Linked DNA regions of Cricetulus griseus. The protein of the gene in region 2 interacts with the protein of the main gene of each other region in a biochemical or structural test. Links are inferred from orthologs where the notes say so. Each region holds a gene or a part of one and is shown on either strand. Other genes may lie near its edges. The genes, in order: Eef1a1, Gadd45a, Pcna, Cdkn1a, Cdk1 and Aurka.

Region 1 (4,823 bases), on a different chromosome or scaffold from region 2:
AATGCTCCTTATTAGGTTGGTTCAATAATATCAATTGTTTGTTACTAGGCAGTGATGTTGTACATCTGGAGGAGATCTCTTGAGCCCATAATCAGGTTATTAGGAATAAATACTCTAAGGCTAAAAATGTAGCTTAGTGATAAGAGTGCTTGCCTGGTGTGCTGAGACCCTCGGTTCCATCTCCACAACCCCATATTCCATTACAAAATACCTTTTCACCGTCCCTAGCATTAAGAAACAAAACAACAAAGAAGTTTTTCTTTCTTCTGAGATCCTGCCCGGAGAGGCATTTAAAACTGGCCAGGGCCAAAAAAAAAAAAAAAAAAAAAGAAAAAAAAGAAAAGAAAACAGGCTAGGGCCGGCATGGTGGCGCACGCCTTTAATCCCAGCACGCAGGAGGCAGAGGCAGGGCGGATCTCTGTGAGTTTGAGGTCAGCCTGGTCTACCTAGTGAGTTTCAGGGCACCCAGGGCTAAAGAGACTGTCTCAAAAACAAAACAGCCACACAATCAGAACCACAGCAAAACGCAGTTATGATCCTTGGAACTGTAGGAATGACAAGCATTTAAATAATAGGACGAGCCATTTTTGAGAAGCTCTGATTTCACAAGTGTCAGGGATGGGCTCTGGGCGAGTAAGATTGCTAATGCTGGCCTCTAAATGAGACCACGTGGAGTTGATTAGATTCTTTTCATGTTCCTCGTGCTCTATCAAATAACTGTACCCAAATACACACACACACACACACACACACAATGCGCGCACACACAAAATCCTTTTTTAGCTTAAGAAGCCCAGAATCAGAAGTAAAGCTAACTGTGGGACTTAAGTATTATTCTGAACGGAACTCCCAGGGCGTGAAGCGCGCTTCAGGCTTCCAGAGAAGCAGCTGGCGCTGGATGGAATGAACCAAGAGGCCAGCACAGGGGCAGATCCGTCGAGCTCTCGGCCACCGAGCTGAGCCCTTAGGTTCTGGGGCTGGGAAGGGTCCCTAGGATTGTGCACCTCTCCCGCGGGGGACAAGCAGGGGGATGGCGGGGCTGACGTCGGGAGGTGGCCTCCACGGGAAGGGACACCCGGATCTCGACACAGCCTTGGCAGTGGAGTCAGGAAGGGTAGGGACAGATTCTGGACGCCCTCTTGGCCAGCTCCTCACCGCCCCACCCCCGACTGGAGCCGAGAGTAATTCATACAAAAGGAGGGATCGCCTTCGCCCCTGGGAATCCCAGGGACCGTCGCTAAATTCTGGCCGGCCTCCCAGCCCGGAACCGCTGTGCCCGCCCAGCGCGGCGGGAGGAGCCTGCGCCTAGGGCGGATCGCGGGTCGGCGGGAGAGCACAAGCCCACAGTCCCCGGCGGTGGGGGAGGGGCGCGCTGAGCGGGGGCCCGGGAGCCAGCGCGGGGCAAACTGGGAAAGTGGTGTCGTGTGCTGGCTCCGCCCTCTTCCCGAGGGTGGGGGAGAACGGTATAAAAGTGCGGTAGTCGCGTTGGACGTTCTTTTTCGCAACGGGTTTGCCGTCAGAACGCAGGTGAGTGGCGGGTGTGGCCTCCGCGGGCCCGGGCTCCCTCCTTTGAGCGGGGTCGGGCCGCCGTGCGGGTGTCGTCGGCCGGGCTTCTCTGCGAGCGTTCCCGCCCTGGATGGCGGGCTGTGCGGGAGGGCGAGGGGGGGAGGCCTGGCGGCGGCCCCGGAGCCTCGCCTCGTGTCGGGCGTGAGGCCTAGCGTGGCTTCCGCCCCGCCGCGTGCCACCGCGGCCGCGCTTTGCTGTCTGCCCGGCTGCCCTCGATTGCCTGCCCGCGGCCCGGGCCAACAAAGGGAGGGCGTGGAGCTGGCTGGTAGGGAGCCCCGTAGTCCGCATGTCGGGCAGGGAGAGCGGCAGCAGTCGGGGGGGGGACCGGGCCCGCCCGTCCCGCAGCACATGTCCGACGCCGCCTGGACGGGTAGCGGCCTGTGTCCTGATAAGGCGGCCGGGCGGTGGGTTTTAGATGCCGGGTTCAGGTGGCCCCGGGTCCCGGCCCGGTCTGGCCAGTACCCCGTAGTGGCTTAGCTCCGAGGAGGGCGAGGCCCGCCCGCCCGGCACCAGTTGCGTGCGCGGAAAGATGGCCGCTCCCGGGCCCTGTAGCAAGGAGCTCAAAATGGAGGACGCGGCAGCCCGGCGGAGCGGGGCGGGTGAGTCACCCACACAAAGGAAGAGGGCCTTGCCCCTCGCCGGCCGCTGCTTCCTGTGACCCCGTGGTGTACCGGCCGCACTTCAGTCACCCCGGGCGCTCTTTCGGAGCACCGCTGGCCTCCGCTGGGGGAGGGGATCTGTCTAATGGCGTTGGAGTTTGCTCACATTTGGTGGGTGGAGACTGTAGCCAGGCCAGCCTGGCCATGGAAGTAATTCTTGGAATTTGCCCATTTTGAGTTTGGAGCGAAGCTGATTGACAAAGCTGCTTAGCCGTTCAAAGGTATTCTTCGAACTTTTTTTTTAAGGTGTTGTGAAAACCACCGCTAATTCAAATCCAACATGGGAAAGGAAAAGACTCATATCAACATCGTTGTCATTGGACACGTAGATTCAGGCAAGTCCACCACAACCGGCCACCTGATCTACAAATGTGGTGGAATCGACAAACGAACCATCGAAAAGTTTGAGAAGGAGGCTGCCGAGGCAAGTATTCGAAGGGAAAAGGTCGGGGGGGGTGGAAATCTACCGTAAGCAGGAAATTGTTTATTTAGAAACTAGATGTTTTGAGTGTACTAACTGCGAATCACTGAACAGATGGGAAAAGGCTCCTTCAAGTATGCCTGGGTCTTGGACAAACTGAAAGCTGAGCGTGAGCGTGGTATCACTATTGACATCTCCCTGTGGAAATTTGAGACCAGCAAATACTATGTGACCATCATTGATGCCCCAGGACACAGAGACTTTATTAAAAACATGATTACTGGCACTTCTCAGGTTTGTGAAATTTACTACCTTCTGACCCTTACCTCCAGCTGGAAAGCTTTGTTATTAACGGGAGGTAACTTTTTCTTAGGCTGACTGTGCTGTCCTGATTGTTGCTGCTGGTGTTGGTGAATTTGAGGCTGGTATCTCCAAGAATGGGCAGACCCGTGAGCATGCCCTTCTGGCTTACACCCTGGGTGTGAAACAGCTAATTGTTGGTGTTAACAAAATGGATTCCACCGAGCCACCTTACAGCCAGAAGAGATACGAGGAAATTGTGAAGGAAGTCAGCACCTACATTAAGAAAATTGGCTACAACCCTGACACAGTAGCATTTGTGCCAATTTCTGGTTGGAATGGTGACAACATGCTGGAGCCTAGTGCTAATGTAAGTGACTTGAAGAAGGTGGTTAAATGGAAAAGCTGTAAGGGGGGAGAGATTATAAAACATTTGGCTACTCTGCATTTCAGATGCCTTGGTTCAAGGGATGGAAAGTCACCCGTAAAGATGGCAGTGCCAGTGGTACCACACTGCTGGAAGCTTTGGATTGTATCCTGCCACCAACTCGTCCCACTGACAAGCCACTGCGACTGCCCCTCCAGGATGTCTATAAAATTGGTGGTAAGTAGAGCATTCGGACACTGGACTAAGATGTTTTGAGGTGTGTTCAGTTGTCTTCACCTTATATACTGTAAATGTTTTTAGGTATTGGGACTGTTCCTGTGGGCCGAGTAGAGACTGGTGTTTTAAAACCTGGAATGGTGGTTACCTTTGCTCCAGTCAACGTTACAACAGAAGTAAAGTCTGTTGAAATGCACCATGAAGCTTTGAGTGAAGCTCTTCCTGGAGACAATGTGGGCTTCAATGTAAAGAACGTGTCTGTCAAAGATGTCAGACGTGGCAACGTTGCTGGTGACAGCAAAAATGACCCACCAATGGAAGCAGCCGGCTTCACTGCTCAGGTAAACAAGATAGGTGTCAAGAGTGTAATATTGATAGCAGCATGCAAAACCTGAAGGCAAGATTTAACCAAATGCTGTTTCTTTCAGGTGATTATCCTGAACCATCCAGGCCAAATTAGTGCTGGCTATGCTCCTGTACTGGATTGTCACACAGCTCACATAGCATGCAAGTTTGCTGAGCTTAAGGAGAAGATTGATCGCCGTTCTGGTAAGAAGCTGGAAGATGGCCCTAAATTCTTGAAATCTGGTGATGCAGCCATCGTTGATATGGTTCCTGGCAAGCCCATGTGTGTTGAGAGCTTCTCTGACTATCCTCCACTGGGTAAGTAGAACTTAAGTTTCTGTTGCACTGAGTATTGTTTGGATATGAAATGCTGTATGAACAAGTGCTCATAACTGTTTCTGTGTAGGTCGTTTTGCTGTTCGTGACATGAGGCAGACAGTTGCTGTGGGTGTCATCAAAGCTGTGGACAAGAAGGCTGCTGGAGCGGGCAAAGTCACCAAGTCGGCCCAGAAAGCTCAGAAGGCTAAATGAATATTACCCCTAACACCTGCCACCCCAGTCTTAATCAGTGGTGGAAGAACGGTCTCAGAACTGTTTGTCTCAATTGGCCATTTAAGTTTAATAGTGAAAGACTGGTTAATGATAACAATGCATCGGAAAACCTTCAGGAGGAAAGGAGAATGTTTTGTGGAACATTTTTGTGTGTGTGGCAGTTTTAAGTTATTAGTTTTCAAAATCAGTACTTTTTAATGGAAACAACTTGACCAAAAATCTGTCACAGAATTTTGAGACCCATTAAAATACAAGTTTAATGAGAAGTCTGTCTCTGTTAATGCTGAAGTCATTACTAAGTGCTTAGCTTAGCAAGGTATGTGGATGCCCATTTGTGTTCCAAGGGATTGGACTGTTCATCAGGACCCAGAGCTGA
Region 2 (4,788 bases):
ATGCAGTGGTGACTCCTAGCCCAAGGTATATTGTTGTCCATTTAGAGGGGTCTTCCCTTTCTATTAACCTAATCTAGATGATCTGTCACTGACATGCCCAGAGGCTTATGTTAGTGATTATTCTAGACCCCCATTAAGGTGACAATCACTGTTAACCATCACAATCGAAGCCTAAACTTGAATGTTGCACTTTTGTCCTTGTTGCTATTTTGCAGGACTAGGGATAAAATTTTGGGCCTGGGCCTGGAGCATGCTAGGAAACTGCTCTACCATTGAGCTAGACTCCTAGGCCCAATGTTGAGAAACTCTTTAACAAGCACATCCCATGTAAAGATTTAAAGTACAGGTATGAGGTACACTAACGCCCTAGGGTGAACCATACACTGACACTCGTTCCTTTACTCAACATTGCTTCTCCGTGACAAAGCCCTTAGGGAATGAATACAAAGTCTATCTCCAATAAATGAACTAGAAAACCAACCTATCACTTTTCCATTAAGAGCAAGGAAATTGGAAAATATTTTGTCCACAAGAGAAAAATTGAAGGATGCAAAATTCATATGTACCCCTGCAAAATTTACTTCTGCTAACTATTAGCTGCACAGTGACCTCAAAATAAGCACTGTTATGAATTCAAACAGATGAGAGGCAATTTTGTTACTTCAGTTGGATCAGGCAATGCTTTTGTATTTATCAAATAAGCTCATAAAACAAAGGGACTTTTGAAGTACTCAGTAAAAGTCTACATTAAAAATTGTTTTTAATGTGTGACTCCTGCTTGCAGTTATGAAGGTTTGCCTTCCACCTACAAGTTGCCATTATCTCAAAGGTGAAATTTTAGCACATGGCTAAAATGTTCTATAGTTACAGCTTCATGATTCAGCATCAGTAATTCAGAGTGAGATCATAGGCAGTGGAAGGTGGTGTCATACTCTTTTGCCTGTGAAGGGGCGACCAGGGAATGGCATAAGCATATTGAATTTAGACTGTGGCTCCTGTGAGTACCACAATTTGTCTCTCAGCTCTTGCCTGATCAGAAGGTGCCCTCGGGAAAGATTTTAAGAATGGTAAATTTGGCTCATTAGGCATGTTGATCACCAGCTCCCCCCACCCACCTTATATGGAGTGGGCAGAAGTTTTATCAGCTTTTCGTGGAAAAGATTCCAACTTGGTACCGTGCCATCACCACACACCAGTGTGCTGGGTTTTCTATTTGGAGCTTCAAATTCTTGCACCCAACCAAAAATAAATCAAGCCAGCCATCAGGGCACCAAAAGAATACTACTGTGAAAAATCAGCATTGCCTGAAACTTAACATATAAACAACACTTCTGAAGCAAGTTTTGCGTGGCACATCCGGACACTTTAAAAATACCATCTGCTTACTAATAACAGCTACACCAGGGTGCATTAACCCTGGAAATAAATTGTAAAATCAGCCCCTTAACACAAACAACACGAGACGACCATCAAAAGATCTCCACAACTAGAAAAACAATTGGCAGGCTGTTTTCAGTACGAGCTGAGGACACTGGAACCACCGCAAAGCCCTCCTCACCAGATGGCTCCACCAACTCCCAGAGCTGGCTCAGGACCCCGCCAACCCGGTTTCTGCACCACTCTCATCCCTGGGGGCTTCCCTCCCGCGTAGCTCCGCCCCCTTCCGCTCAACTCTGCCTGGGCTGGTGGAGTTAGGGTCTGAGTGTCAAAGTCTGCTAATTTGCATAAGCCAATGGGTGCATTGCATGCAAATGAGGCGGGCCCTGATTGGCTGACGGCTAGCCCCATAACTCCGGAATCGGGGGCCTTTGTCCTCCAGTGGCCCGGAGGAAGCTGTGCAGTCCTCACCTACCGAGACTTAGGCGAGAAGCGGCGAAGCGGCGGGTGGGAGCCGAGCGAGCGCGGGGCTGGCGCCGCGCACTGGGGGGGGCAGGAGCAGCCCGCGCGCCGCGTGAGGGACTCGCACTTGCAATATGACTTTGGAGGAATTCTCGGCCGCAGAGCAGAAGACCGAAAGGTAAGTGTGCCTGCGGACTCTGTGGCCGCTGCCCCTCCCGCCGTCGGGGACCCGGCTGACCCACTCTCGCCCTGCCGCCCGCAGGATGGACACGGTGGGAGATGCCCTGGAGGAAGTGCTCAGCAAGGCGCGGAGTCAGCGCACCATCACCGTCGGCGTGTACGAGGCCGCCAAGTTGCTCAATGTGTAAGTGGTCCCGGCCGCCCGCGCCCCTGCCTCCCGCCCGCCCCCCCGCCCGCCGCCCGCCTCTACCCCGAGCTCCCTGGACAGTGTGCACTCACCGCTGCCCCGCTGTCCGCAGCGACCCCGACAACGTGGTACTGTGCCTGCTGGCTGCAGACGAGGACGACGACAGGGACGTGGCTCTGCAGATCCATTTTACCCTCATCCAGGCGTTCTGCTGCGAGAACGACATCAACATCCTGCGGGTCAGCAACCCGGGCCGGCTGGCTGAGCTGCTGCTGCTGGAGAGCGACGCGGGCCCGGCGGAGAGCGGGGGTGCCTCGCAGCCCCCTGACCTGCACTGCGTGCTGGTGACGGTAAGGGACCCGGGGCTGCAGCCCGGAATCTGTTGGGATAGACCTCGGCAGTGCTAGACGCTGATCTCGCGGGGGTTCTGATGGTACCGAGCGTGTCTAAGCTCGTGGGTGGCCTCCAGCGGCGGAAGATAGCCCTGTGAGTCAGCAGGCTGCCCAGCTACCTCTGCCTACCTCTGCACTACCTCGCGTGACTAATTCTCAGAGCAGGACAGATTAGATAAAGCCAAATAAATTCCCGGCTCACCCTTCATTAAGAAGTCAGCTTCATTCTTCATTTGCTCTCAAAGCTAAATATAGAAATAGAGTAGGAGACAGACCTTATTAATTCGCTGGAGATACTCTGGTGTGTACAGAGTGGAATTCTTTTCTCTGAACCTTTGTATTTGTTTAGATGAGCCCCCCCCCCCACGCACACACACACACAAACACACGCCCTTTAAAAATTTCTGGTTGAATAATGTTTTCAGAGAGAAATGTGCTGTCTTGGTCTTCTGTTTTTTTGTTTTTGTCCTTTCTCTGCCTTGACTGGTGTAGGCAAGTGGCACCCTGATTACTTTTGCTGCCAGTGAAAAGTGCCATTCATCACCAGGGAAGATAAGAGTGAAGCTAAGCTGCCTGCCCTGCAGCTTTCACATGGTGTGCGAGAATGTTTTCAGAGCTATTTTACTTATGACCCTACTAGGGTGCATGCTTGATAGGTTCAACTTATGAATGATAACCTCATGCAGAATGGTACAGATAATTATGCAAAACTCTGTGGCCCAGTGTGCATTACAGGTGTTTAGATCTTGCCAAATGCTACTTAACAGAATGCTCAGGTTTTGGCCCTTTCAAAAGTAGTACAATTAGTAGCATAAGCTGATGATTTTATGGAAAAGTAATTTTTCTAAATTTGTTCTTAGAACCCACATTCATCACAGTGGAAGGATCCTGCCTTAAGTCAACTTATTTGCTTTTGTCGGGAAAGTCGCTACATGGATCAGTGGGTTCCAGTGATTAATCTCCCCGAACGGTGATGGCATCTCAATGGAAATAACTGAACCAAATTGCACTGAAGTTTTGAAATACCTTTGTAGTTACTCAAGCAGTTACTCCCTACGCTGATGCAAGGATTACAGAAACTGATGTCAAGGGGCTGAGTGAGTTCAACTACATGGGGGCTAGGAGATGACTTTGCAGATGGACAGAGGTGAAAATAAAGAAGGAAGCTGTGTTGAAACAGAAATCTAAGTCAAAAGGGACAAAAACTACAAAGAACTGTGCAAGAAAGAAAACTGTTGATTTAGGATGGCTGAGTTACATTAAATAAGCCAAATATTGCTTTGTTGAAACCTTAAATGTGTAGCAATAGTTTGTTTTTTTTTTGTATTTGTTTTTTGGTTTTTTTGTTTGTTTGTTTTTTGATCTTTATGCCCTCAAGTAAAAGGAAAGTGAAAAGGATTAATTGTATTTTAAAGCTACAGGTTAATGTATTTTGATGAGATGTTAAATTCTCAGAAATTTTATTATAAATCGGACTAAGTTATTTTATGATATGAAAGGTTATTTATGATAAAGTTTTTGAAGCACAATATCTAAAATAAACTGGTATGGAATAATTGCATCATTTTCACTGTGTGGTTTGTGTTGTGCAACATTGACTATTAACAGACATTTCATTGAAGCCTTGCTTTACACTAGGCAGAAAAATGGGTGATTTTAGAGGGCTTGGATAAGGGAAAAAAATGTTTACGGATTCCCCTTGCAAAGTTTGAATAACTACAATTAGTTATTTTAATGCTACAAAAATGCATGCAAAATGTAGAAGCAGAGAGGAGGGCAACCAGGGCCACTTGGAAGATTAGTGGAGCTTTTGCTGAGGAGAAATCATTTTCTTGGGGTCTTAAGAAATAACCTTAATTTCTCTAGTTAGAGAGAGGAAAGGGATGTTGCTAACAGCAGTTTGTGCAGAGGTGTGGAGGCCTGAAAGATCACAGCCTGCATAGAGACTGACTCTGCATGCCTCTGGTGTAGAAAGATAAGAGAGAGAGGGCTGGAAAGAGTAGGTGGGGGGGTAGGTTCAGACTCTGACAGGCATTCTCGTATCATTTTTACGTATTTGAACTTTCCTCTGTAAATTGGCCACAGTCTGCAGAGGCCTTCATTCTGCAGAAGGAAGTGACATGGTCAGTGTTGTAGGAAGATAACATGGAGCCATAAGGGATAGTTAATTGCCAGAATGGCTGGCTGTAC
Region 3 (4,840 bases), on a different chromosome or scaffold from region 2:
TTTTATGGAGTTGCCTGCAAGTATACCACAAGCATGCCTGGTGTTTTGAAGAGGGTGTGAGGTTCCCTAGAAGTGTAGTTACAGAGGTTTATAAACTGCCATGTTGGTGCTGGGAACTGAACTCTAATTCTTCGAAAGAGCAGCCGGTGCTCTTAACCACTGAGCCATCCCTCCAGCCTTAGACTGGTATCTGAGTTGTTTCATCAATGCCCTTTAACAAAGCAGAGTATAATACATTAAAAAGAGAGTAGCAGCAACTAAGTGAGAAACTCTGGATGTAAGAATGTAAGCAAACAGTGCAAACACCTTCATTCTCTCTTGTGACACTGTGAATCATGCTGGGGCCTGCACAGGTCAGGCCAGCACTCTCCTGTAAAGGCCAGCACTACAACCTTTCATGGGTTCTGGCTAGGGAACCTGAGGATTAACTAAGAAAAGACACAATAGGTCATTTTTGCAAGGAGAATGCCAGTTTATTTCAGAGGGGAGGAGACTTATATGCCAACAGCAGCCACAGTGGAAATTTACTCAAATCAAAGTCCATGCTCTCAAGCCCCCTGGCAGAGGGCAGAAAATTTACACTCTGGCATACAAACCTAGGCAGAAGGAGGAAATGGACAGCGAGCCCCAGGGGCCCCTTAGGTCACCCAGCCGGGTCCCAATGTTAGGAAGGCAGTGGTGGCATACACCTTTAGTCCCAGCACTCTGGAGGCAGAGGCAGGTGAATCTCTGTGAGTTTGAGACCAGCCTGGTCTATAAGAGCTAGTTCCAGGACAGCCTCCAAAGCCACAGAGAAACACTGTCTCGAAAAAAGCAAAACAAAACAAACAAACAAACAAACAAAAAGAGGCATTTGAAATAGAAACTGTGGACTTTCACATTAATATTTTACACTTTCGGCATCAAACATATTTTATCCATCACCAAAACAAAACAAAGAGAAGAAACATTAGAAATTAAAAAAAAAAATAGCTTTACATCCGTTTGTAGCTGGTGTCCACCACCTGCATTCAGTTTCCCCCACCCTTATAATCAACAGGAAAAAGAAATTTCAGTAGAACAAAACGCAGCAGGAACACATGCACCTGTAATGGCTGACATTTTCAGGAATGGGTATTGATTTTAACATGAAGTTATTGGTGCTTAGCCTCTAGGCCCTGGGTTCATCTCCAGCCTAGATGGGGTTCAGGCTAGGGAAAGAGGCGTAACAGGGAACTAATTAGGTGGGACCTATGGATTATGTATCTTAAGAGATAGTCATACTTTGGGGTTCTTTGCAGAAGTGTTCACGGCAAGAAGGAACTCTTTAATCTTTAGGGAGGAAAGTTCAGAGCGCCCAACACAGTGAAGTGATAGAAAACCGGGGTTAAGATGTGGTGGCTCCTTCCTTACTCGGTATTTTGCAGCGTTTTCGCCTACGCAGTAGCAAAAGCGCTCTGTAGTGTTTGAAACAGGTATACTTTTCGACTTCAGGCAGCCCTGCACCCCACCCCTCCCAACCCCCGACCCGCGCCTCCCGGCGCAGCTCGGCTTGCACGTGACTTTCATTTCCGTGGCGCGGAAACTTGCCGGGACAAGCCTCCTCCAAAAGGTGGGCCTCCGCGGATCCCATAATGCCCCACGCTTCCCACGCCCGTACGCCGCAGCCCCGCCTCTGTGTACGCGGCAGGGCGGGCCTTGCGCGGGACTCGGATACGATTGGTTCTGAGGGGAAGGTGGGTGGGGCAGCGCGGTGACGTCGCAACTCTCGCGCACGGAAAGAGCGCGCGCCTAGGAAGCGGCAGCATAAAAACGGTTGCGGGCGCCCAAGTTGGTAGTCGCTCCCTGCGGGTCCTCGCTGCCACTTCTGCATCGCGAGCCGGGAGACCTTCGCGGCCGGCCCTCTCTCCTGTCACAGTCTCTAGTATCTAGTCGTCGCGACTCCGCCAGGATGTTCGAGGCTCGCCTGGTTCAGGGCTCCATCCTGAAGAAGGTGTTGGAGGCTCTCAAAGACCTCATCAACGAGGCCTGCTGGGACATCAGCTCGGGCGGCGTGAACCTGCAGAGCATGGACTCGTCGCACGTCTCCTTGGTGCAGCTCACTCTGCGCTCCGAAGGCTTCGACACATACCGCTGCGACCGCAACCTAGCCATGGGCGTGAACCTCACCAGGTGAGCGGGTGGCGGGAGCTGGGCTCTAGCCCTCCCGCCTCGGGTCTTGGCGGGGCTCCGGCTCCGTGCTCTCATTGGCTGACGTGGTCATCCGCGCCTTCTGATTGGTGTCTGGAGCTGGGGGCGGAGCCCGAGGAAGCGCGCGGTTCTGAAAAGCCCGCGCTGGTGGCCGCGCGAACCCGCTGTTTCCGCGCCAAAGCCACAAAACGGGTGCCGGCGGGAAAATGCCTGCGTTGGAGATCAGTTCATTAAACGCCAGCAGCTTTTTTTATTTCAGGGCACAACCTTGTCCTGGCTAATTTTAGCTGCCTACTAAACGTGTTCTGGTGAAAATGTGGTACTGTCCACTTAGAGGGACAATAGGCCTTTTCTACTTGGAGTCTAGAATCTCATTGCGAATCATTTGTGGGAAAATTTACCAGTCTTAGCTTTTAACTTTGTTACAGATGCATGAATTTGCCACCGGTATACGTTTTAAAAGATTTGTGAAAAGGCCACATATGATATAGGGCACACTCTGATACACTGGAAACCAAGGACATCCTGCTCAAAAAATTATTTACTGGCATATTGCCTTTGAGTGGTTTTAAGGATCACATTCCCGATAGTTTACTCCCCCCCCCAGGGGATTTGGTGTGGGCGTAAAAGGGTAACATCTTGTAATTGCCTTTAAAAGAGTAGATGTTGAACACATGGTGTTGATAAGCCCTGCTTCTTGTTTTCTAGCATGTCCAAAATACTAAAATGTGCTGGTAATGAAGACATCATTACACTAAGGGCTGAAGATAATGCCGATACTTTAGCACTCGTATTTGAAGCACCAAGTAAGTTACACCTCTAAAACTCAATTGTTACAGAAAGCAAAGTATGATCTGTTTCTCAAAACTAAGGATATTAACAGAATTGCGGTTGTAAAGTTTTACACCATAGGTATGAACATGTGCTTCAATAACATTTGCTTCCTTTTGTTAGATCAAGAGAAAGTTTCAGACTATGAAATGAAGTTAATGGACTTGGATGTTGAGCAACTTGGAATCCCTGTGAGTATCTTGTTCTCGTTTCTGGTGGTCTTTGAACTCATTCTGTAGACTCAAACTCAGCAGAGATCTGCCTGCCTCTGCCCCCTTAGTGCTGGGAGAATATCCTGTTTTCGCTGGTGAATTTTACCAAGCTGTGATACCAGCTGATGAGTTCCAAAGTGGGTATTTGGAATGAAAGACAATTTCACTAAGCAATGACAGTCTAAAATTGAGTTTTAAAGAAATCAGATACTTGTCCTCACACTTCTGACCTTTAACTTTGGGATTTACAGGAACAGGAGTACAGCTGTGTGGTAAAGATGCCTTCTGGTGAATTTGCGCGCATATGCCGAGACCTTAGCCATATTGGAGATGCTGTTGTAATATCCTGTGCAAAGGATGGGGTGAAGTTTTCTGCAAGTGGAGAGCTTGGAAATGGAAACATTAAGTTGTCACAAACAAGTAATGTTGATAAAGAGGAGGAAGCTGTAAGTAGTAAAAGTTGTCTGCAGTGTCTGAAAGGGGAATGAATATAAGCTTAACTGCTGAGCTGGTTCTCCAGACCTAGCTCTTTTGAGGTGGAGTGTGAGTAGACCAGGCTGTCTTTGAACTTAGATACTCCACACTCTGCATATATGCTTTCACAGGTGGGACTGGGAAGCTAGGTGTTTCCAAGCTTTTGCTTCCTAGAATGACTGACAAATAAGCATTAACAAGTGAACAGAAGAAAATGGTTGGGGTTGTGAGTCTGTTGGGATCATGTAGATCTTGTAGTAAGTAGCTTTGTGTTGGACTTTCACGTGCTACCCCATTTAATGGTGCAAAAGCAGACTAAGTAAAGTTGAGTGTTGATAAGTTTTAAAGTCCTCAAAAATGAGGAAGATGTTGGAAAGGCAAAGGAAAAATGCCTGGAAAGCCTCATTCAAGCAGAAGATACTAGGCTAATTGCTAAATATTCAGAAGTCAAAACTTTTTAATTATACTAAGTTTTTTAAAAAGTTTTGCCAGCTAGTCTGAGCATCAGACTATAAATTGCAGACACAGTCTGAACTAAATATGATTTTTAGTGCTAAATGTAAAATTCGGAGTGCTTAACACAAAGTGTTTAATGTTATTTTGTCTGCAACTTGTATAACTGAGGATTAGAACATATATACACAACCCATAGGGCTGGTTCTTAACCTTAATCTGTCTGCTTAATTATTCCTACTTACCTGTCATCCTCAGATCACAAGGTATTTAATTCATAAGTATTTTGTTTAAAGCATAAGCATTACCACAACAAAGGAAATTAAGTTTTCAGTATTCACATGTTTCTTATTTCCTTAGTTTGAATTGGGACTTGAAAAAAATTCCTGATAAAATGAAAATTGGTCAACATGTCCCTTAGCTTGCATTTAACTTGTTGCTTCTTGTTACTAGAGTTGGTTATGAGCTGCTGGATGTGGGTGCTGGGAACCAAACTTGGATGTTGTGGAAGAGCATCGAGTATTAACTGTTGGGTCATCTCGCCAGCCGTGGTTACTTTTGGGGGTGGGAGTTGAGTGTTGTACATTGAACCCAGGACTTATATTAGTCAAGTGCTCTACTGGTTAGCTATCATTCCATTTCTTTTTCCTCTATATAGATTCTTTGGAAGAGATTAGTGCTTGCAGTCTAGAAAAGAACAG
Region 4 (4,833 bases), on a different chromosome or scaffold from region 2:
GTCCAAGGAACCCTTTCTCTGGGAGTATCAGTACACTAGTAACAGTAGTAACGTTTGTGGAAAGATTTCTGTGTGCCTGACTTGGCTCTTTACCTGTACAACCTTAGTTATTGAAGACTAGAATTTATGCCAGAAAAAAAATCAACTTCTTTTTTCTTTCTTGTATATTGTATGTATGTGTTCATCTGTGTAGGTAAGGGTGCGTATGTATACGTGTGGTGTGTCACACCAGAAAATCCAACCCTGCTTGTCATTCCTCAGATGTTGTCCGCTCTGCCATGTGTTTCTCCTGTGTCTGTTTGAGACAGAGTCTCTCTATGTAGCCCAGCTATCCTAGGACTCACTCTGTAGACCAGGCTGGCCTCAAACTCATGAAGATCTACCTGCCTCTGCCTCCCAAGTGCTGGGATTAAAGGTATGTGCCACTGTGCCTGGCTTCAGCTTGTGCTTCTTAAAAAATATGTATGCACATGTTATACTTTATTTATTTTGTGTGAGTGAGTGTGTGTGCACATGCATGTGGGTGCATGTGTTTCATGGGGCCCCGGGGATGTCAGAGAAATCAGTCTTCTCCTACCAGGTGGGCCCGGGGATGGAACTCAGTCGGGTTTGATGGCAAATGCCTTTACCTGCTGTGCTGGCCAGTTCCTGCCTCTGCTTCCTGAGTGCTGAGGTTAAAAGTGAGCACCACTACACTGGGCCCTCGCTATGTCCTTCTTCATCCTTGCTTGTTGTGATGTAAGAATCAAACCCACACCAATGGGTTTTAATGTGGTTTGTTAGGTAAAAACACAAATTTAAATGCAGCTCAATCATTTTTGTTTTTAAAATATCTAATTATAGACTGAAGATGTAGCTCAGTCAATAGAGTTTGTCTAGCATGTACAAAGCCCTGGGACCCATGCCAACACTGTATAAACTGGGTGTGGCAGCACACACCTGTCATCCAGCACCAGGAGATTGAAGCAGGAGGTTCAGAAGTTCAAGGTCTTGGGGCTAGATTGCTTAGCAGTTAAGAGTATATAGTGGTCTTGCAGAGGACCCAGAATCTACATTTGGTAGCTCACAGCCACCTGGAACTCTAGATCCAGGGGATCTGATGCCCCCTTCTGGCTTCCTCAGGCACTTGCACTCACATGCACAAACCTCACACTCATATACACATAACTATAAACTAAATCTTTAAAAGAAAGAGGGAGCTGGAGAGATGGCTCAGAGGTTAAAAGCAACGACTGTTCTTCCAGAGGTTCTGAGTTCAATTCCCAGCAACCACATGGTGGCTCACAACATTCCGTTATGAGATCTGGTGTCCTCTTCTGGTGTGCAGATATACATGGAAGCAGAATGTTGTATACATAATAAATAAAATCTTTTTTAAAAAGAAAGAAGTTTAAAGTCATCCTCAGTTATAAATTGAATTGGATGACATCCTGAGCTACATGAGATCCTGTTTCAACAAAACAAACAGCCTTCAAGATACCCCTCCCTCAAGCTCAACTTTCTGGATGGTCCCCAAGAGAGGACTTGGCATTCTTTACTATTTCTGTTCTTTGTTAAAGCCCGTCCCAAGACAAGCCCCAGCATACACCATCAAAGTGCTAAGGATTTGGGGTTCGGAGCCTCTGATTGCACAGTGGGGCAATGGCCTCAGAAGTTCAGAACCATGGCCCCCCCTCCACCCAGCACAGGTAGGCAGATGACAGGAAACAAGGCCCTGGGAGCTGCTAGCTTTGGCTGGAATGACTCTGGCAGGGGTCAGGGTGAGTCCGGGTCTTTACTGTGGCCCCTTCCATCAGCTGCTCATCTTTGTCTTTGCCCTAAGGTGTCTCTGGGTTCCTCTGGGGTTATATTGGCACCAGAACCACCCCGGAATGTAGCAGCAGCTCCTCTAAGCCCCAGTGACAGTGGCCGCACTATGGTTGCAGAGCCAGGAGTCACCAGTGTGATGTCCTCTGTTGATCTTCTGTGGCTTCTTAGAGACCTGCACTTGTAGAGAGGGGACCATGTGTCCTCCTGGAAACATTTGAGAGCTTAGGAGAGGGCTGAGGAAGAGCTGGCAGGGTGGGTGGGGCATGGAGGGGGCATGAAGGGGACATGGAGCGAGGCCTGGCACTGTGAAACAGACAGACTATGAAATGTGACAAGGGTGTGCTTGGGGCACACACCTATAACCCCAGGCAGGAAGATCATGTCTTTGAGACCAGCTTAGGCCACATAAGATCTGTTTAAACTGAACCAAGTGTGGCAACACACCCCTGATATTCAGGGGAAGAAGCAGGAGGACTGCCATAAGTTTGAGGCCCACTCATTCTACGTGAGACCAACTGAAACTAAGATAGAACAGAGCCAGTTACTTCACTGAGGTAAAGATTTGAGGGAGAAGGAGATCATCTCTCACACTCGTGAATCCAGGAAAGGTGTTCTAGGTGGCCGGTGCTCTCCATGCAGTGAGTCAGAGGTCCAGGCCCTTTCTGTCCTATAGCTTCCCAATCTTGAGGGCCTGGAGGTCTATTCCCTGGGCTGGAGGAAGGAGAAGGCTCTAAAGAGGATGTGTGCACTTTGTCAACTGGCTCAGGAGTACTCAAATTGCCTTCTCTAGACCAGACCATAGATGGGAAGCTGACAGATGGCCGTGTATGGCTGCAGAGGTCTCTGTAGTCCCTGGCTGGGGACACAGTTGATGTGACTTACTTCTTGCGGAGTCTCTATGAGCAGATGGGATGTCCTCCTGCCTAGGAAGTCATCCTAGGCTTTTCCCGCTGAGGCACAGACCGAGAGAACACTGCAGAGGCGCCTAGGAAATGGGTTCTCACATATGTGGACCATCCAGCACCACAAGAAATGAAACCATGAGGTCCACACAGGGACAAAGGAACAGTGCACACTGCCTCCACACACAGCAGGACCCCACTTCCTCCTTCTGGTACACAGCTTTCAAAGGAAAGGAAAAAAAAAAAAAAAAAAAAAAAAAACAGCATCAAAGCCGAAGGAGTTACCGGCCCACATGCAGGAAATCCCTTATTTGGCAAATCTCCTGAATCCCCTGGGGACCTAGGAGACAGCTTGCTAGGAAGCCCCCCAGAATTTCTTATAGGGGGTGCATTGTGCTCAGCCTAGATCTGGAAGGGTGGGGGTTCACTCCCTGAGACCTCAAGAAAGGTCCAATCTCCCTCTCTGTATTTCAACTGGCTGGAAATGGCTCCATCAGCCGCCCATCCTCCCTAACCTAGGGTTTCTGAACAGAGGGGAAGAGGGTGGAAAGGGACTTGCCTTTGGGAGAATACTCACGTTGTCAGGCCGGAGTCTGAAGCAGGGGGATGGAAGGTTCAAGGCCTGTAGAGTGAATTCAGGGTCAACCTGAGGTTTCAGTAAATGAAACTTCATGCAAAGAGCAAAACCAAAGAATTAGGGGATGAAGCTTGGTGGTCGAGCCCCTGCCTAGCATGCCAGGGATCAATGCCCATGGACTGAAGCAAAGAGAAAAGGAGAAGAACAAAACAAAACCCTCAGGGCTTAGGAAAAAAACAGCTGCCTGTGGCCTGCTCTCTCTGTCTCCCTCCTTCCCTCTCTCTCTCTACCCCCTTTCTGCTCTCCCTGTCTCTCCTCTCTGCTCTCTCCTTCTCTCTGCTCTCTCCTTCTCTCTGCTCTCTCCCCATCTCTGTTCTCTCCCTTTTCTCTGCTCTCTCCCTTTCTCTGCTCTCTCCCTGTTCTTTTCTCTCCCTCTCTCTGCTTGCCCCCTCTCTCTCCCTCTCCCTCTCCCTCTCCCTCTCTCTCTCTTTCTCCCTCTCTCTCTCTCTCTCTCTCTCTCTCTCTCTCTCTCTCTCTCTGCTCCTGTTTCACTCATGGACAAGTCCAGTCCACTGGCCATGTTCCCTCTACTACTCTCTCTCTCTGCTCCGGTCTCTTCCAGATGCCTCTGACTTTTCTCTCCTCATAACTACATTAAAAAAAATACCTCCCCTTAGCCATACCATAGAGCAGACACACCATCAGTTTATACGCCACCAAGCCTAAGGACCTGAGTTTGGCTCCCAAAACCCACACACATGAAGAAGGAGAAAAACAACCCCTGAAAGTTGTTCTCTGACCTCCACATGAGAACCTGGCATGTGTGCCTGCATATACATTCATGGCCATGACAAAAAGAAAAAAATTTTCTTAAAAATGCAAGAAAAATCTCAGGTTCTTTGTGCACAGAGAGTCTCACTGGAAGAGAATAGATACTGGGACAAGTGATGCCTCTGGAGAGAAGAGGTGGTCTCCTTCCTGTAGTGCCCACCCCCAAGACCTCAGCACCCAGGGCTTCACACATGAAGTGCTAGACACACATGCAGGCAAAGCACCTACACAAATAAAAATAAATATTAAAAAAATTAATATTTTATTTTTATTCTTTTTTTTCTTTTTTTTTTTTTTTTTTGGTTTTCGAGACAGGGTTTCTCTGTGTAGCTTTGGAGCCTATCCTGGCACTCGCTCTGGAGACCAGGCTGGCCTCAAACTCACAGAGATCCAACTGCCTCTGCCTCCCGAGTGCTAGGATTAAAGGCGTGTGCCACCAGTGCCCAGCTGTCTGTTATTATTTTTTTTAACCCGCATTATTTCTCGTGTGTGGACATGTACCAGTACAGGGGCACATTAGTGGAAGACAGAGGACGAAGACCAGCAGTTGGGTGCTTCCTTCCACCATGTAGGCTCTGAGAACCAAACTCCAGCTGTCAGGCTTGGCAGCAAGCTCCTTAACCCACTGAGCCCTCTAGCCAGTCCTTAATATCTTTTTACATAACAATTAACACAATTGAAAACTACACTCCATGGCCAGATGTGACCCTGCAA
Region 5 (4,189 bases), on a different chromosome or scaffold from region 2:
AAGGCGTGCACCACCACCACCCGGCTTAATGTGGATATTTTTATGTTTGTTTAGTTTCTGGGTGCAGTGGGATAGAGTCACATTTATTTTTGTTGATTGTAATGCTAGGAGGAGATAAAAGAGAATAGCCTGTTCAAAGAATTCCAGACATGGTGCTGAGAATTAATGTTGGCTGGAGGAACAGGCATGGTAGCTGTGGGAAGAAAGAAGCCCTTCCATGAGGAGCTTTGCCAGCTCTGATTTTCAGAGCCCAGGTCCCCAAAGGCCCTTTAGGAAAGTAGCTAGGTTGGAATGGGGAAAATGCTTTAATTTTTTATTGACTCCTTTGGGCTGGGTCTTTGAGGATGTTGTCTAGTGGCTCATTAGAATTTCTAGTGGTACTTGGTACTGAACCCAGGGCTTTGGGCATGCTAAGAAAATGTTCTACCACTGAGCTGTATCCCAGACTGTCTTAATTTTTGGGTTTTGAAGTTTTGAGGCAAGACTTGACTCTAGCTCACTCAGACTGGCCTGGAATTTACTGCTTTTATGTAACAGCCTCCCAAGTGCCCACACTATGAGCTTAAACCACCACTCCCAGCACTCTTTAAATTTATTTTGAGACAGGATCTTTCAAAATTACCCAGGTTGGCCTTGTACTCACTCTAGCTTAGGCAGCCTTTGAATGTAAAGATTATGTTCAACTTTAATGTCCATAATTAATTTACTTCAATGAAAGAAGAACAGAGGAACAAAGACAAGCTGTACAGGAAGTCATAAATTACTGTCCTGAAAGGCAGGCCTTCCTCAAGTCTTCAGTGTGAAGGTAGTTGTTGAGAAGCTTCTACTAAAATCCTGAAGCTCGAGGTGGAGGTATTGCTGGGCTCTCATGGATTGTTTTCTCCTCAGTCTTCAGGATGTGCTCATGCAGGACTCGAGGTTGTATCTAATTTTTGAGTTCCTGTCCATGGATCTCAAGAAGTACTTGGATTCTATCCCTCCTGGTCAGTTCATGGATTCTTCACTCGTTAAGGTAAGAGTCTGCAGACTTTTATTAATACTTATGCACTCAGAGTGTATGGCTTATCCTTGTTTTGTGGGTGAATGGTGGAAAATATGTAAGAAAATAGAAGTAGAGAGGGTTTTATTTTCTTCCCACACAGATGAGGTCATCTCTTTATACCAGACCGTTCTAGGAAGTGAAAAGTAGTGTCTGAGGACGTAAGTGCCTCACTGTGGACTATGTGTTAAATTAAGTTGCTGGAGACAGAATATACTATGGCTGATACTTGGGAGGACTTATTCTGTGAAAAATATATTTTGGTTAATGTAAACATTGTATTTCAGTTAAATCACACAGTTATTATTTGATATTTAATGTGATTTATACATAGCCTGTACATATTCACTGATCTTTGTATTTTTAGATAGATTTTAATTTTTCAATGATTTCAAAGGTCTTTTTAGTAACATACAGTTGATAATTCCTTTTATTGCCTCCCCCCCATTTTGATTGCCATTGTTTATGTTATGTATGTCTTAGGGTTACTGTTGTTGTGATGAAACACCATGACTTGGAGAAGAAAGGGTTTATTTTGCCCACAGTTCCATGTAACAGTTCATCGATGAAGGAAGTCAGAATAGTAACTTAAAACAGGGTGGGAACCTTGGGTCAGGAGCTGATGCAGACACCATGAAGGAGTGCTGCTAACTGGATTGTTCCTCATGGCTTGCTCAGCCTGCTTTCTTATAGAACCAAGAACCATATATGTTAACCTAGAGATGACACTACAATGGTCTGGGCTCTCCAGCATCCATTACTAATCAGGCAAATACCCCACAGGCTTGCCTACAGCCTAATCTGATGGAGGGATTTTCTCAATTGAAGCTCCCTCTTCTCCTGTGACATAAAACTACCCAGCACAATATTCTTAATGACTTTCGGACTTTGATTTGTGTCTTGTTGAATGTATAATGTATTAGATCATATATATTAGAATAATGTCAACGTTTTTCTGCCCGTCCTCTTTTCCCCCTTGCTCTTGTTTTTTCTTTTTGTTTGTTTTGTAGCACCAAGATTACTTTTGTTTTCAGAACTAGATTGTAAGGCTTGGGGGGGACATTTCAGGAGGGAAAATACTTATGCTGTAAGCATGGGGACTTGAGTTCTGGTTCCCAGCATCTATGAATCAGGTGTGGTATTGTGTACTTCTGTAATCCCAGAACCTGAGGGCAGAGGAGAAAGGTGTGTGTGTGTGTGAATTTACTGGCTAGCCAGTTTGACCAACATCTCAGGTTTAATGAGAGATGCTACCTCAAAAGCTAAGGTGGAAGCAATAGAGGAAGACATTGACTTCCACCACTGCCCTGGCACCTGCATGTGTGTGTGCAAACACACATACTTGAGTTTTCATACACACACACACACACACACACACACACACACACACACACACACACACACACGAGAATTAGGTTATGATTCAACTTCAGTATTGTCTGTTTTACATTTTTTCTCATTTCAAATTGAAGTCAGTCAGATGTCTCCAAAGAGCAAGTGCATGTGGGAAGTGAGAGAAATGAAAAAGAGCAACTTTATTCAAGAAAAAGGGCTTGATATGAATGTGTTGAGGAAACTTCTTCATAGGAAGCTAACTTGTGACCTAAAGATAGGGGACAAAATTTTAAATGCTCATGTGGGTATAGATAAATCCTTCCATATACATATACTATATGTAATCAGGTTTCCTGCCCACAAGTTTTTTTAGTTTAAAGGGCCTGAAAGGTCCTTTGATAATATAATTATTTCTCGGCATCATAATTTCTTCATAAACAGTGGTCATTTCAGAGTCTTGTGGCATGATTAAGTTTCTGGCTGTTTTTTTCTAGAGTTACTTATACCAAATCCTCCAGGGGATTGTGTTTTGTCACTCCCGAAGAGTTCTTCACAGAGACTTGAAGCCTCAAAATCTATTGATCGATGACAAAGGAACAATCAAACTGGCTGATTTTGGCCTTGCCAGAGCTTTTGGGATACCGATAAGAGTGTACACACATGAGGTAACTGGATTGCTGCCCACAGTTCTGCTCTGGTACTATCAGTTCATTGCTTCTTGTCTCTACAGTCACTCTTTCCCTGTGAAAGTGGAGCTGGAACTTTTGGCATCTTTTGTCAAGGGAGATTCCTGAAGAGGCCTTGCAGAAGGGGTTTACTGTAACTTTTGTAATTCTCTTTATCGATCTTTCTCAGAGCTGTGGTTCTTCCTGATGGGACCCTGCTATGGTCATTCAGATCAACTAAAAGGCAGGTTTTGCTGTCTGATGTCTATATTGTTCTGATACATTTAGGAGCTAGTAACTGTAGTTGAGGGAGGAAGTGCTAGGGATTGAGCCCCAGTCCTTACATCACTGAGCTGTACCCATGGCTCTGTCATCAATTGGTATTCTATTGATGCTTGGCATTTCATTAGGTTATTTTATGTTTCTATGTAGTGGGTCTTGAACCTAGGGCCTCACACATATCAGGTAAGTGTTCTACCCCTGAACTGTGTTCTTATTTTGAGAAAAGGTCTTACTAATTTGCCCTGACTGGCCTTGAAGTCAGTGGACCAGATAGGCTTTGTGAATGCTGCCTCATTTCCCTGCAGCTGGGATTGTGGTCTGCATCATTAGACTGGGTTCCTCTGGTGTTTGTGAAAGGGCAGTGACTTGTAAAGTGCAAGAACATTGACATCTGGGGAGTTGTGAACTTGGAGTCCATCGTGTCAGGTGGACTCCTGTCCCTTTCCCTCCTTGTTTCTTTTGTTTTTTTTTGAGGCAGGGTTTTCTGTAGCCCTGGCTGGCCTCAAATTCTCTGGATGGCTGTTGATGCTCGCCTTTGCCTCTTGGGTACGGAGGTCGTTCGTGTGCACTGCTGTGCCTGGGGAATGCAGTTCTGGGGATTAGATCCTACACATGATGCCTGACAGGCAAGCTCTCCACTGACTGACCTCTCAGCCCTACCTCGTTTATTCCTTTTTATTTGACACAGTTACTTGAATTTTCTTTGATGGCTATAACTGCTATTAACCCCATTAGTGTGGTTCTTAGAAGTCATAGCATCACTATTTTGATGAATATACTACTATGGTTGATTAGTTCTAAATCATTTGTTTTTTTTTTTTTGTGGTGTGTTTTATGCATGTTAATTTTAGCTGCTGTGTCAACATGT
Region 6 (4,921 bases), on a different chromosome or scaffold from region 2:
TGGTTCAGGCTCCTCAGCTGCTACCTATGTCACTGGAGGTTAATCAAGATGGCACACACAAAGTGCAGAGAGAGGTGGGTGCTTGGCATACAGAAACCATTCAAATATTGCCACCGACGGTTACCATGGAACCCCTCATGGTATTCTCTGTTACTATTCCTTCCCTCTCTCCTGTTAACACTGGTGCCTACAATAGGCAGACAGCTGACACTTTCTTTGTCGGACGCCTGGACTATTTTTACCGTTCTCACCAGCTGGACTATAAACCTACGGATGACCTTTTTATTATTTTAAAACCTGTTTTCAGGCAACCAAGCTTATTACTAAAATTATATTACTTGAGTTAGTAAATGAACACATAAATACATCACAAAAAACAAAGGAGGATCAGAAAATGAAAAATAAGCCAAGTATAATGTTCTGGAACAATGACAACTTGAGCTGTTTAAGAAAATGTTGCCAAATGCTGGGCATGGTGGCCCCCTGTCTTTAGTTCCAGCACTTGGGAGGCAGAGGCAGGCAGATCCCTGTGATTTTGAGACCAGTCTGGTCTACAACACAGGAGGCCGGCCAGGGCTGCATAGTGAGACCCTGTCACAACCAAACCTAAAATGATACCACCAAAACAAATAAGAAATGCAAACATCTCAACAGATTATGCTCCTCTCAGTTTTACTTGGAAGGATTTAAGCTCTCCAGTCCATGAACATGAAACGCAACTGAAGACGCCGGCTTCAGTTACCAACTTGGGCAAATAATCTGATAATTACCAGTACGTGTGCGGTTAGAGTTTGGCTATCGGAATCTGGGAACAGCGGGAGGGGAGGACTGGGGGTTACAGACAGGGGTTACAGTGTTTGCTAAGCCTGCCAGACGCCCTAGGCTCAGTAACAACAGCAGCAGCAGCAGCAGCAGCAGCAGCAGCAGCAGGACCCTCCAGGCCACACACAGCACGGCACTGTCGGGAGACCTCAACAGTTACCACTCATCGAGCTCTTGCTACCGCCGGGTACGACGACCCCGAGCACCCGATCGGCATTAATCTCGACACGCAGGCATCCAGAGACTCGTGCACTTCACGTTAGAAATAAGCGTGTACAAGCCTAACCCTTGCATGAGACACTGGGACTCGACAGAGAGTGACACGAGTTCCAGAAAGTTTCCAGGGCACCCGGTCAGGCTACAGCCGGCCCCCAAGGGTGAGGGCCGGTCCGCGCAGCCTCCGCTCCCGCCAGGGACGCCCGGGGCTGGGTCTCGAGGTGTAAAGGGGGGTGGGGGGGGCGGCGGCCGAGCCTTCACCCGAGTCCCCGGGAGGAAGCACGGGCGGGCGGGAGGAGCCCGGCCCGGGGCTGCAGGGGGCCCACCCCGCTCGGGCGGAGGGGAAAGCAGGGAGCCGCCGGGACCCAGGCCCGAGGCTCGCTCGCTCGCTCGCTGGCTCGGGGTGCAGGCCGGGCCGCTCGGCTCCGGGGCGTCCGGCCTCCCGCCACCCTCTCCGCTGGCTCCGGGCCCTCTCCACGCCAGCCCCCGGCGCCCGCACCAGCCCGTCTCCCTGCGCCTGCCACCCGAGCCCGTTCCGTACCCCCGGATCAGGGTCCCGGTCTCCCGCTCTCTTCTGGAAAGATGGAGGCGCGAATCGTGCCCGATCGATCGCTCCGAGCGCACGCCCACTGCGCACGCGCCAAGGGCAGGCAGCCGAGCGCCGAGCACCCTCCCGCTCACTCGGCCAGCCTGCCCTTCTCGCCATCTTACTCACTGGCACGTTCGAGACGCTCACTCACCTCCTCCGAGCTGATCACCTTCGCGGCAACCCTGAACCCGAAGGGCTGCTGTGTGACCGGCAAACGCCCGATCCTGGGGAGCACGGCGAACGACAGAACGGCCACAGATCGGACAGGCCGTTGGCGCACCACTTCCGGGCGCTGACGGCTCAGTGCGCCTGCGCCCCGGCTACGGCCCGGAACGAGCTTCCCGTCGTCGCGTTCACGGCGGGCCAATCACAGGACGGCGCCGCTTCGCCTCCAGCCAATCAGCTTCCGGAGGAGAGGGTTTAACTCCTGTTTCAAAGGAGAACCTTTGAATTGTAACGGCTGAGCTCCTGGAATCGCTTGGAGTCTTCGCTGGAGACGCGATCCTGCCCCGGGGTAGGAAGGGGACCCGGCGGGCCAGGGAGAGCCTGGGCGCTGCAGAGCGACGCGGGGCGGAGAGGGGCCCGGGGGTGGCGGGCTGTCTCTCGGGGCTCGCATCGGTGCAGCGGAGATCCAGGTGGCCTCGTCCCTCCTTGGGTTTAGGTTCTGGTGGGAATGGGACCCGGACCACCGGCCATACCGGGTGATTTGCAAACCGATGGCGGTGGTATGGACGAAGCAACTGCGGCTCAGTGGGGACCAGGCGGGGGTCCCCTTGTAGAGACGCCCGGGGTCGTGCTGCCCCCTCACCGCAGCCTTTTGAGCAGTCGGTGTCGGTGTAGACCCGCGGAAGCTCAGCTTGTAGAATATTCCGGAAGCCCCGGGCTCGGCCCCCAGCACTGCCTAAACCATCATGGTAGCCCCCGCCTTTAATTCCGATGGTGAGGAGGTGGAGGCAGGCGGATCACAAGTTACATGGCAGATCGGAAGCCAGCCTGAACTGTGACCCTGACTCAACAAAAAAAAACAAAAATAAGTCATCTCCCCATCCCCACACCCAGCGTGGTTGCTCACATCAGCAGTCTGAGGCAGGAGGGTAGCCTTGAGTTTGAAGCTAGCTTCCGATACAATGTGAGAGCCCTTCCCAAAAGTGAGGCCTATCTGGGAATGTAGTTCTTGTGTACCACGCCCTGGATTCAAATCCTAGCACTGCATACACTGGGCACGGTGACCATGTTTGTAATTCCCATTGGGGAAGTGGAGGCAGGAAGATCAGAAGTTCAAAGTGATCCTCCATTATAGCATGTTCAAAGCCAGCCTGGGCTACATGAAACACTGTCTCAAAAACAAATACAAGACTGATATGGTCCCAAATTCCTTTAATCCCATCACTTGGGAGCAGGTAGAAGGACTTCTGAGTTCCAGACTACCTAGGAGGGCTACACAGAGGTACCCCATCTCAAACCAAACAAACAAAATCCTGGCTCCACTGCAAATGTAGGAAATAGAAATATCTTAGGGATAGGATCCTGGTATAGCTAATCATGGGAAAGCTAAAATGCAGGTCATTTAGCCAAGCTGGCATCTGGTCCCAGGGCTCCGTTTCCTACAGGCTTCCTACAGGTGAGGTGGGTACAGCCCCAGTCCTTCACTTAATGCCTCCATCTCCTGCCTAGCCTCCCCCATCTTTGCAGTAGGGGCTTTTCAATAACACGCAGGTGTTTGTCCTGACTGCAAGCAGGTGTTTGTCCTGACTGCAACCCGTATCTGAAAAGGGAAGCCCAAGGCTGATTCCTGCTGTGTCAGGAGAACTTTTCTTACATGGAGTTGTAAATCTTGGCTGAATGGGATCTGTGAAGGTCATCTGATGTAGATGAGAAGGCGAAGGACTGGGATTAGGGGAAAAAATGAGGCCAAGCCAGGAGGGTAGGAAGTGACAGCTTGCAAGGTAATAGATAAACTGGGAAATGGGCAAATGTGATTGGCTGAAACCTGTTCCCCAGGAATCAAGTTAGTGCTGGGTTTGCCACCGTAGGGGAAGCTGAGAGACTGGCAATACCGTGGGATTCAAAAGGCCCAATGGGAATGGCTTGGGAAAAGAGTAGGTGAGCTTTGTTGTTCAAGGGTTATGGGAGATGGGACCATGGCCTGGGGTAGCTGTGCAGCAAATGGGTAACCCAAGCAGGCTGTATATGCTGGGCATCATGTTTTAGAGCAGAAAGAACAAGCCCAGGAGGGAAGAGAATGAGAGGATGTGAGGAGCTGGGTGCAGGATTGTCAGTGGGAAGTGTGAGGTTGCAGGTCACAGAGGCCTGTCTGTCAGAGGCAGTGACTGCGGAGCACAGCAGTACGTGGCTTCCTGTCAATGAAAGGCTCTTGTTTCTCTCTTCAGGTGACATGGACAGATGTAAAGAAAACTGTGTTTCCAGGCCTGTTAAGGTAAAAAGAATTACCTGTAATCACAATTGAATTTTGAAAAGTTGTTTTGAAATGAAATGCATTTTGTTTGTGTGCACCCATTGTTGTAATTTAAGAAAAGCAGCCTTCAAGAAAGATGGCATGAGACAGGGTTCAAGCAGAGAAGGGCTTTTTATTAGGGAAAGAGATCATAAATAGGGGAGGGGGAGACAGGAGCACCAGCAGAGAGAGAGGGAGGGAAAGAAAGAAAGAAGGGTGGGAGCTGACAGCAGCTGAGGGCGTATCCTGTCAGAACAGGCCAAGGATAGATGCCTAAATACTAATATTCCTCCCTCTTATTATAAAAAGATGAGTCATTAGAAAGGGGTAGCAGGTGAGGTGGGGATGAGACCATTGTGTTTTCAAGACTACTTCCTGCTGACCTGGGGGGCATCGTTCATCTTTGGGGGACCTAGGAAAGCTGGGGTGCTAGCCATGTCCTGGAGTAGCTGGCTGTTTCACTTCACTGTCCAGGCTCTGTGGAACCATCAAGGTGCCTCCTGAACCTGGCAAAATGCCGTTCTTGGTGAATCCAAATCAACACCCTAGGGCGTAAAGCGCCTGGTCCTTTCCCGTCACCACAGCATCACTGGGCATGTTTGGTAGTCTTGTGCCTCCAGCTCTACGGCCAACACCTGGTAGTACTGCAACAGTAGCCGATTAGGAATGGTCCGTGGGTCTCCAAAAACATCTCAATAGGAGCAAGGAGGCATAGATGGTGACACAGCTCCCATGAGTGAGGCAGAGAGTAAGACCCAAGGGTCTGCAATTCCTAGCATCCCAGGAATTCAGAGAGGGCCAGTTTCGAGACTGGCACAGGCTGTCACTCAAAGGGTGGG

What was found.
Region 1: the proteins of Gadd45a (region 2) and Eef1a1 form a complex in vitro, tested with the Homo sapiens proteins (2 studies listed by BioGRID). The link is inferred for Cricetulus griseus from reciprocal best matches to the Homo sapiens genes GADD45A and EEF1A1.
Region 3: the proteins of Gadd45a (region 2) and Pcna form a complex in vitro, tested with the Homo sapiens proteins (4 studies listed by BioGRID, with this or other methods). The link is inferred for Cricetulus griseus from reciprocal best matches to the Homo sapiens genes GADD45A and PCNA.
Region 4: the proteins of Gadd45a (region 2) and Cdkn1a form a complex in vitro, tested with the Homo sapiens proteins (3 studies listed by BioGRID). The link is inferred for Cricetulus griseus from reciprocal best matches to the Homo sapiens genes GADD45A and CDKN1A.
Region 5: the proteins of Gadd45a (region 2) and Cdk1 form a complex in vitro, tested with the Homo sapiens proteins (5 studies listed by BioGRID). The link is inferred for Cricetulus griseus from reciprocal best matches to the Homo sapiens genes GADD45A and CDK1.
Region 6: the proteins of Gadd45a (region 2) and Aurka form a complex in vitro, tested with the Homo sapiens proteins (2 studies listed by BioGRID). The link is inferred for Cricetulus griseus from reciprocal best matches to the Homo sapiens genes GADD45A and AURKA.

What each region holds. Positions count from the first base shown.
Region 1 is NC_048597.1:189,545,051-189,549,873, reverse strand, and holds Eef1a1 (elongation factor 1-alpha 1), read left to right. Parts: upstream 1-1,494; 5' UTR 1,495-1,527; intron 1,528-2,471; 5' UTR 2,472-2,505; coding exon 2,506-2,649; intron 2,650-2,760; coding exon 2,761-2,940; intron 2,941-3,019; coding exon 3,020-3,316; intron 3,317-3,399; coding exon 3,400-3,550; intron 3,551-3,634; coding exon 3,635-3,891; intron 3,892-3,978; coding exon 3,979-4,213; intron 4,214-4,301; coding exon 4,302-4,426; 3' UTR 4,427-4,695; downstream 4,696-4,823. UniProt on the Homo sapiens protein: Translation elongation factor that catalyzes the GTP-dependent binding of aminoacyl-tRNA (aa-tRNA) to the A-site of ribosomes during the elongation phase of protein synthesis.
Region 2 is NC_048601.1:76,185,047-76,189,834, forward strand, and holds Gadd45a (growth arrest and DNA damage-inducible protein GADD45 alpha), read left to right. Parts: upstream 1-1,804; 5' UTR 1,805-1,973; coding exon 1,974-2,017; intron 2,018-2,101; coding exon 2,102-2,203; intron 2,204-2,298; exon of another isoform or gene 2,299-2,318; coding exon 2,319-2,556; intron 2,557-3,458; coding exon 3,459-3,572; 3' UTR 3,573-4,162; downstream 4,163-4,788. UniProt on the Homo sapiens protein: In T-cells, functions as a regulator of p38 MAPKs by inhibiting p88 phosphorylation and activity.
Region 3 is NC_048599.1:46,330,876-46,335,715, forward strand, and holds the start of Pcna (proliferating cell nuclear antigen), read left to right. Parts: upstream 1-1,920; 5' UTR 1,921-1,930; coding exon 1,931-2,151; intron 2,152-2,877; coding exon 2,878-2,975; intron 2,976-3,123; coding exon 3,124-3,191; intron 3,192-3,463; coding exon 3,464-3,658; intron 3,659-4,840. UniProt on the Homo sapiens protein: Auxiliary protein of DNA polymerase delta and epsilon, is involved in the control of eukaryotic DNA replication by increasing the polymerase's processibility during elongation of the leading strand.
Region 4 is NW_023276806.1:257,585,047-257,589,879, reverse strand, and holds the start of Cdkn1a (cyclin-dependent kinase inhibitor 1), read right to left. Parts: upstream 2,932-4,833; 5' UTR 2,692-2,931; intron 1-2,691. UniProt on the Homo sapiens protein: Plays an important role in controlling cell cycle progression and DNA damage-induced G2 arrest. Involved in p53/TP53 mediated inhibition of cellular proliferation in response to DNA damage.
Region 5 is NW_023276806.1:268,283,036-268,287,224, forward strand, and holds part of Cdk1 (cyclin-dependent kinase 1), read left to right. Parts: intron 1-888; coding exon 889-1,012; intron 1,013-2,868; coding exon 2,869-3,039; intron 3,040-4,189. UniProt on the Homo sapiens protein: Plays a key role in the control of the eukaryotic cell cycle by modulating the centrosome cycle as well as mitotic onset; promotes G2-M transition via association with multiple interphase cyclins.
Region 6 is NC_048599.1:6,970,339-6,975,259, forward strand, and holds the start of Aurka (aurora kinase A), read left to right. Parts: upstream 1-2,002; 5' UTR 2,003-2,141; intron 2,142-4,017; 5' UTR 4,018-4,022; coding exon 4,023-4,064; intron 4,065-4,921. UniProt on the Homo sapiens protein: Mitotic serine/threonine kinase that contributes to the regulation of cell cycle progression.